2 linked regions of the Daphnia pulex genome follow. The protein of the gene in region 2 purifies or fractionates together with the protein of the main gene of each other region. This does not show direct contact. Links are inferred from orthologs where the notes say so. Each region holds a gene or a part of one and is shown on either strand. Other genes may lie near its edges.

Region 1 (4,122 bases), on a different chromosome or scaffold from region 2:
TGAATAGTGATTTCCCCACCTCAAAAGTTTTACAACACTACGACAAATGAATACAGCTATGATCGATGTAGATAATTATAGAAGATATAAAAAAATAGTCTAATAAAAAAAATTGAATTGTGGTCGACCCACTCGGAAGTCATTTTCACTTTGAACTGGTGTACTTGGTGACAGCCTTGGTGCCTTCCGAAACAGCGTGCTTGGCCAACTCGCCAGGTAGGAGGAGACGTACAGCTGTTTGGATTTCACGACTGGTAATGGTCGAACGCTTGTTGTAATGGGCTAGCCGCGAAGATTCTCCGGCAATCCGCTCGAAAATGTCGTTCACGAAGCTGTTCATAATAGTCATGGCCTTGGACGAAATTCCAGTGTCGGGATGTACCTGCAGAAAAGTTTCATCGATTGTAATTACACGATTATACACTATAAAATATCACGAAGAGAAACAAAACATTTACCTGCTTCAAGACTTTGTAGATGTAAATGGCGTAACTCTCCTTCCTCTTCTTGGTACGTTTGGTCTAAAGAAAACAAGATGTGAATCAAACTCGTTCAAAGTTTATAACACGAAATTCTTACCTTTTCACCAGACTTGTTGAGACCACCCTTTTGAGTCTTTCCTGCCTTTTTCGCTGCTTTTCCACTTGTTTTTGTAGGTGACATGGCCATTTTGATGATATTCTTAACTGGAACTCGACTGTGAGCTGATAGAATCTGGGAAATTCTGCTACAGAAAACCTAGACGACGTTGGTTTTTATACTCTTTCCCCCCATTTTTCGGACAAAGAAAACTCCCTATTTGCAGTCATAACTCCGGGGTACAAACCCATCCTCCTTCCACTTTTTTGTTTTCAGACGTTTTCTTACTCTTCCTCTAACCTCAAGTTAATGGATTTGTTTAATTCATTTAAAAGGGGATAATCTTTTTTCTCAGAAAGAGAAATAAACTATGAGCAAACTCTGTCTAGCCACGAGGTATTTTTTCGTTAGCCTTCCACGAATTCATATGCATTTTTTAAAGATTTTTTAAAGAAACTATTTTTTGTTAGGGCATATTCCGATTATTAAGTTTAATTGAAAAAAAATCATTTTAAACCTATTCAAAGCAAGGTCAAATGAGCTCCAATGAAATTGTTGTTTGCCATACTGAAAATAAGTTAGCCAGCCAAATAGGTTTTTAAAAATAAATATATGTTTATAAAATCTGAAGAAATGCATACAGCATTTATTAAATTTCGTGTCTATTAAATAATTTCGATGATTTATCAAATAGGATTTAATATGACCCATTTCCAGCAGACGACTGCCTCCCCATTTCACGATTTGAAGAATAATATTGTGCAGTGCTGTCTGCAGAGAATTTGCTTTCCCACGTTGTGGGAGTGATATCTATGATTTGTGATATCTAATTTATAATTTGGCGTCTAGAATCTGAAAAAAAATGTCAAAGTTAGAAGAGGAGAATGATGAAGTTGTCAGAGAGGTGGGAATTGGGTGTTGTTGCTGTATTCGGCGTGAATGTTCTCACATGTTTATGATTTTTACAGATCCCAGTCTTTTTGTCAAAGAATTTGCTTCAGAAACTCTATGTTTTCCAATATCCACTTCGTTCTGTTGCAGTTGAAATGGAAAGACCTCATGTTGCTGCTGTAAGTATTATATCTTGCATGCAACTCGATTTCAATATTAATGTGAAACATTTCAGTCAAGGATTAAGCCTAAACTTCAGGAAGTTGAATTAGAGCTTGAATTACCAACACATACACAAAATTATGATAGGAGCAAAGCTGAGCAAATTGTTATTAATACAGATGGACAAAATAAATATGATAAACCTGATCATCAGAACTTTTTCAGCGGGTAGGATTGGTTCGTAATATATTTACTTCAACAATATAATAAGTGTTTTCTTTCTTTCATGAAAGTTCATTTATGGATAAAATCACCTATTCTTCCACAAAAGCACTTTTGGATCCAGGAAGGTTTGCAGTTGGCATTGTAGTTGATAATGAACTTCATCTCAATCCATTGCATGGAATTCTACATGTAAAACCCAACTTTCCATACTTGGACAAATCTGAAAAAAATCTAAAAGATACTGATGAACCAACAGGTTAATTTCTTAATGCCAGAAGCATTGTTTCAAATTTATTAAAGTTCTTTGTGAATTTTATAGAGTCAGGTGATGAGGAAGAAGTTGCTGAACAAATCACTGTGAAATTTGCTCGAACTGAAACAGACAGAAGCAAAGCCCTCAGAGAAAAGTCTTTTGGGTTCCTCCAAAAAAAGAATGCAGAAGAACCCTGGTACAATACCAAATTCTATTCATTAAATTCTGAGGAATCCATGGTATTTATATCACAGTATTAAAGGTTATATAATCAATAGAATTATTGTTTGATCATTTGTATAGTTGGAAAAAAACCGTCTCATCTGTGGAAAATCGGATACAGTTCAAAATCTAACCATGGCAAAAGATAAATACATCAGCGATTTGATTGGCCCTAGCCTAGAGATTGATGAATTTCAGAAACAACTTACGTTAGGAAACGCGTCAATGTTTCAAATTCTTAAACTGCCTCAACTTGTAGATAGAATTAAAAATCTCATGGCTAATGGTAACTTAAATGTTGAAATAGTATTACCACATCGATAACCAATTTCTATCTATAGTTAAGCTGATCTCGTTCAGTAAGTTGTGCAGTACCCTAGAAATCAAACAGGAATCTGTTAAAATGGAATCGCTGAAATCGCTGCAACAGGTGGCTGAGTTGGTCCAAGGTAACTGGGTTGTCAAGAGCGAAATCCTTTATCCGAGCGGAGAGAAAGACAAAACGGTTAAATTGTGTGGAATTTCCGGAATTCATCCTGATATCATCAGCAAAGCCAGGGATTATGTGGTAAATAGCCTCCTGATGATTTGTTTTTTTCCTGGCGACTGTCATAAAGTTCTAACATTTATGTTTTGATTTGATATAGTTGTACATGTTTACTCTAAACCGTTGTGTGAACCGAGAAGCAGTCACTATTGCGACTAAAATTCCTACTGATGAAATGAAAGTTATTCTGGAGCAAATTTCCTTCAAGACCAAGGACGGATGGGAATTCAAATTGCCTTTTGATCAAGCCTTTGTTGACAAGTGCGTTTCAATTCCTTTCCAATGATTTTTGTGTTTTAATGACATTTTATTGCGAAAACAGGTATCCGGAAGTGGTTAGGCGCAGCGAATTGATGAATAAAGCTAAGCAGAAGCAACTTTACAACGTCGCCGAATTTAAAGCTCCGAAGAAGGAACCCACCGATACAATAAAGAAAAGAACAAGGCGACGCTCTCGACAAGATTCGTGCAGCTCAGACAGTGGAAATGACGTTAAGAAGTAATCGCAGTTGAACATGAAAAAGCGGATATTAAAAATCTTCTAGTACACTTTTTCTACCCTGCAACAGTCTCGCTGTTCATTTCATTGTTTTGACCTTGATTGTTCAGTTCGTGCTCTTGTCGAAAAATGAAATGGTTGACTGGCGAAAGTAACTGTATCTCTTTTCTACTTTTGATTTGTACGTAGAAATCTCAAACCGTACCAACAAAAATAACTGCAAGCCTCATCCACATTTTCACAAGCCCTCTGGAATATAAAATTTCGAAAGGATTTTTTATTAATATGAAAATATGTACACTTTTTAATCCTGGAACCTGGATCTACTGATCTACTCTAAGCTTTTTCATGCGACTGTTTTTTTTTTTCTTGTAAAATTGTTTGTGTTAATAATAAAATACGGAAACGATACATCCTCATATAAGTTTTTCTGGTTGTTTTTGCCACGAACTCAGTTTTGTGTTATCAATGATAGGTTAGGCAACCGTCTGCTAGAACTGATTTTAAGATTAGATCGTAGATTATAAACATCCTGGTTGCGTAAACCGATACAGCAAAAGAAAGGGGAGGAGCTTATTACAATCGTCTGAAGAGTTTGTTTACTGCTTTAAAATCAAGTTTTACACGTCAGTCATTTTTACACGTCAAACAGTCAAAGAATGTTGCAGCAAATATTTTAGATACTATATAAAAAACTATATGTGAGTGCTGAGAATTCAATTTCCTTAAATGCTATTGTGAGTT
Region 2 (3,209 bases):
CGATTCACCAAAAGGAAGCGTGAAAAAGCAGAGCTTGTACAGGAGACAACCAAGGGCCCAAATATCTGCCTTGGTTGTGATGGATTTCCCCATGTATAAATCGACCATTTCGGGAGACCTACATATGGCATTATATAAGTTTTTTTTTTTTTTTACTTATTCCAACAGCAGTATAATTTTATATTACCTATAGGACAATGTAGTGTATTTTTTAATCTCTTCCTCAACAACAGCCACACCCATTGTGGATGGGTTAAGCACCTTGGCCGTAGCTGAACCAAAGTCACAAAGGACGTAATGGCCAGCGTCATTGAATAAAATGTTTTCCACCTGTGAAACACCGATTTAATAGTTTACATTCTTAGTCCAGCATTAATAAAATAAATCCTAGACATACTTTTAGATCACGATGTATGATGGGTGTCTGGCAGTGATGAAGCCGAGAAACAGCTTCACACATGTCACAAAAGATAGCCATAACTTCTGGCTCTGAGAAGCCTGTCTGCAGTCTTTCATTCATCAACTGGAGGACATGCATCTTGTAAAAGGGCATAAGGAGAAGCACCTCATACACCCCATTGCTTGACTGTGTGATGCTGGAGTCTATGTATCCAATAATATTCTTGTGCCCATTGAGTGTAGAAACAATCTGAATTTCTCTTCGGCAGGCAGCCAAGTCATGATCATTGTTGACATGCATACGTTTTAAAGCATAGCGACTGCCATTAGATGCCTTAACTAGGAAAACAATTGCAAAACCACCTAGAAAAGAATTCATGGATTAAAAGTGAAACAATTCAATATTATTTGATAATAAAATTACAAACCTTCGGCAATAATGTCTTCAACTGTGACAGAGTACTGTTTTCCCACTTGAAACACTTTTCCAACAAGGCTCTGACCACCTTTAGACTCCTTCTGAGAAGGGTCAATTTTTGTCTCAATTTTAGAGAATAATTTCTTCATGATTAACTATATACAGCCTGTGTGTTAGGGAAAAATATACGATATAGTGAAAATCTACAAATATAGAAAAGAAGCAACCGAGATATTGCGACATAAATTGACAGAAAAACTTACAGCTGAAGACAAAGAGATAATCCGAATCACGATTAACAGGAACGTCAAACTGGGGTGGCAGAATCACGACGAAAAAGACGTCATGCGAAATAAATGAATATCATTGGAACACGAATCCAAATAATTTTCTTATCTTCCGAAATTTCTCTCGTCTTCCGAACGGGATTTTGCTTCTTTTCCACCCCCTATAAAACCTGTCAGAAGCTTCACAAAATTCTCGCTTGAGCACTTGGCAGTGCAATCGGTTCTGTTGCCTAGCAACAGTCTATTGCAGACGACGCAGGAAACCAAATCAAAATAGTCATTTTGGAATTGAAGTGTTTCACGTGTCTGAAATATAAAAGATTTCCTGTTAGAAATAAAATGAGATATGCACAAATTGTCATTGGCCCAGCAGGCTCTGGAAAAGTAAGTTTAGATGAAAAACCAATCAATGTTTCCTTAAAAAAAGATGTAACAAAATGAATTTGTTTTTAGTCCACCTACTGCACTGAAATGCAACGACATGCTGAAACTTCTCGACGAAATATTCACATTGTAAATTTGGATCCAGCAGCCGAGTCTTTCGAATATAAACCGTCCATCGATATTCGAGACCTCATTCATGTGGACGATGCAATGGAAGATGAGGAAATGCATTTTGGACCAAATGGAGCTCTTGTTTTTTGTATGGAGTTTCTTCTGGAAAATTTGCCGTGGCTAGAGAATCAACTTGGAGAAGATGATGATGACTACTTCATTTTTGATTGCCCTGGACAGATTGAGCTATACACACATCTCAATGTTATGAAGAAATTGCTGGAAGCACTAGAGTTATGGAATTTCAGATTGTGTGCTGTCTTTATCTTAGACAGTCACTTTATGATAAACTCTTCATCATTTATATCAGCATCAATGGCTGCTCTAAGTGCCATGACAACCTTGGAGGTTACATTCATCAGCATCTTGAGTAAAATTGATTTGTTAAGCAAGAAGAGTAAAAAGCAACTGGAAAGGTGAGAACTTATCATTTCAACAGTTTTCCTCAACTAATGCCTGCATTTTGTGTAGATTTTTGGAGCCGGACGTGAAAGACATATGTGCGAACGATACGGTTGTGGTCAATTCAAAATGGAATCAAAAACATCAGATGCTTACTGAAATGATTGGCCGAGTTTTGGAAGACTATTCTCTAATCAAATTCGCACCGCTTAATATAACGGACGAAGACAATCTCGCCAATATTCTGTTCATGGTGGACAACTGCATGCAGTTTGGAGAAGACAGGTACCTTTCTAGTTATAGTAGCAAAGGGTTACAAAACAGATCAGTCATTCATTAATTGCTGTTCAGGGATATAAAAATGGCGGAATTTGATGCTCCTGACGAGGAAGACGAGGACAACGATGACGGTTACGAAGAAGGAAGGGGATGAGTCAATTAAATATCACTTACTTACGAATTTATTATTTCTTTTTCCTTGAAACACAATACACCGCAATTTTTTCAGCATTTCTGTATATTTTGTATTTTCAGATGACATTGATGTACATCATGTTATTGTCGTAACATTAGTGGTGTTAAGTGAAGATGGCGCTAGGATTTACGAAGGTTTATTCGATTTCGACTGTTGCTTCTTCTTCTGTTCTTCCAAGAAGTTGTGGAATGATTTCTGACCAACTCGGTCTTCTTCATCTGCCAAAAATTAATTATTGGTTATTAGGAATAAGCTAACTATATTCACAATCACAAAATATTTATGTATACCATCGTCGTCTCCAGGGCGCCCTTCGTGTTCTTCATCATCACTACTGGATTCTCCGCCGATGGCTCGATTGCGCAACAATATTTCAGATGTCGCACTTGATACACTTTGGGCTTGTACATCGTTGTCAAAATCGTGTTGAAATTTTTTCTTTTGGCGGTCTTTATCCTTCGTACGGGCTTCGGCTTGAAGTTTTAGCAAGCGATCATGTTCTGGGCAGTATTCTCTATGAAAGAAAATGTAATTTCAATAAGTTGTTCTGCCGAAATTAAATTTAAGTAATAGTCGTTTACGTTTCGTATTCAACAACGGCGGCATCGACAGCGGCCAGAAATTCTTCAAATCCTTCTCCAGTAACAGCAGAAAAACCAACAGTAGTGATATC

The links.
Region 1: the proteins of GPN-loop GTPase 3-like (region 2) and DNA-directed RNA polymerase III subunit RPC5-like purify together in Homo sapiens (affinity purification with mass spectrometry; 3 studies listed by BioGRID and IntAct, counting the BioPlex papers as one, with this or other methods). This does not show direct contact. The link is inferred for Daphnia pulex from reciprocal best matches to the Homo sapiens genes GPN3 and POLR3E.

The regions. Positions count from the first base shown.
Region 1 is NC_060017.1:5,953,631-5,957,752, reverse strand, and holds DNA-directed RNA polymerase III subunit RPC5-like, read left to right. Parts: upstream 1-1,284; 5' UTR 1,285-1,441; coding exon 1,442-1,483; intron 1,484-1,547; coding exon 1,548-1,649; intron 1,650-1,705; coding exon 1,706-1,860; intron 1,861-1,925; coding exon 1,926-2,113; intron 2,114-2,176; coding exon 2,177-2,349; intron 2,350-2,413; coding exon 2,414-2,618; intron 2,619-2,673; coding exon 2,674-2,900; intron 2,901-2,979; coding exon 2,980-3,140; intron 3,141-3,201; coding exon 3,202-3,382; 3' UTR 3,383-3,529; downstream 3,530-4,122. Other genes in the region: histone H2B-like, read right to left, coding at 146-382, 459-521, 580-669. UniProt on the Homo sapiens protein: DNA-dependent RNA polymerase catalyzes the transcription of DNA into RNA using the four ribonucleoside triphosphates as substrates.
Region 2 is NC_060025.1:7,099,904-7,103,112, forward strand, and holds GPN-loop GTPase 3-like, read left to right. Parts: upstream 1-1,334; 5' UTR 1,335-1,443; coding exon 1,444-1,488; intron 1,489-1,557; coding exon 1,558-2,075; intron 2,076-2,130; coding exon 2,131-2,346; intron 2,347-2,412; coding exon 2,413-2,494; 3' UTR 2,495-2,571; downstream 2,572-3,209. Other genes in the region: AP2-associated protein kinase 1-like, read right to left, coding at 1-118, 188-330, 398-762, 828-966; GPN-loop GTPase 1-like, read right to left, coding at 2,663-2,754, 2,827-3,050, 3,118-3,209. UniProt on the Homo sapiens protein: Small GTPase required for proper localization of RNA polymerase II (RNAPII). May act at an RNAP assembly step prior to nuclear import.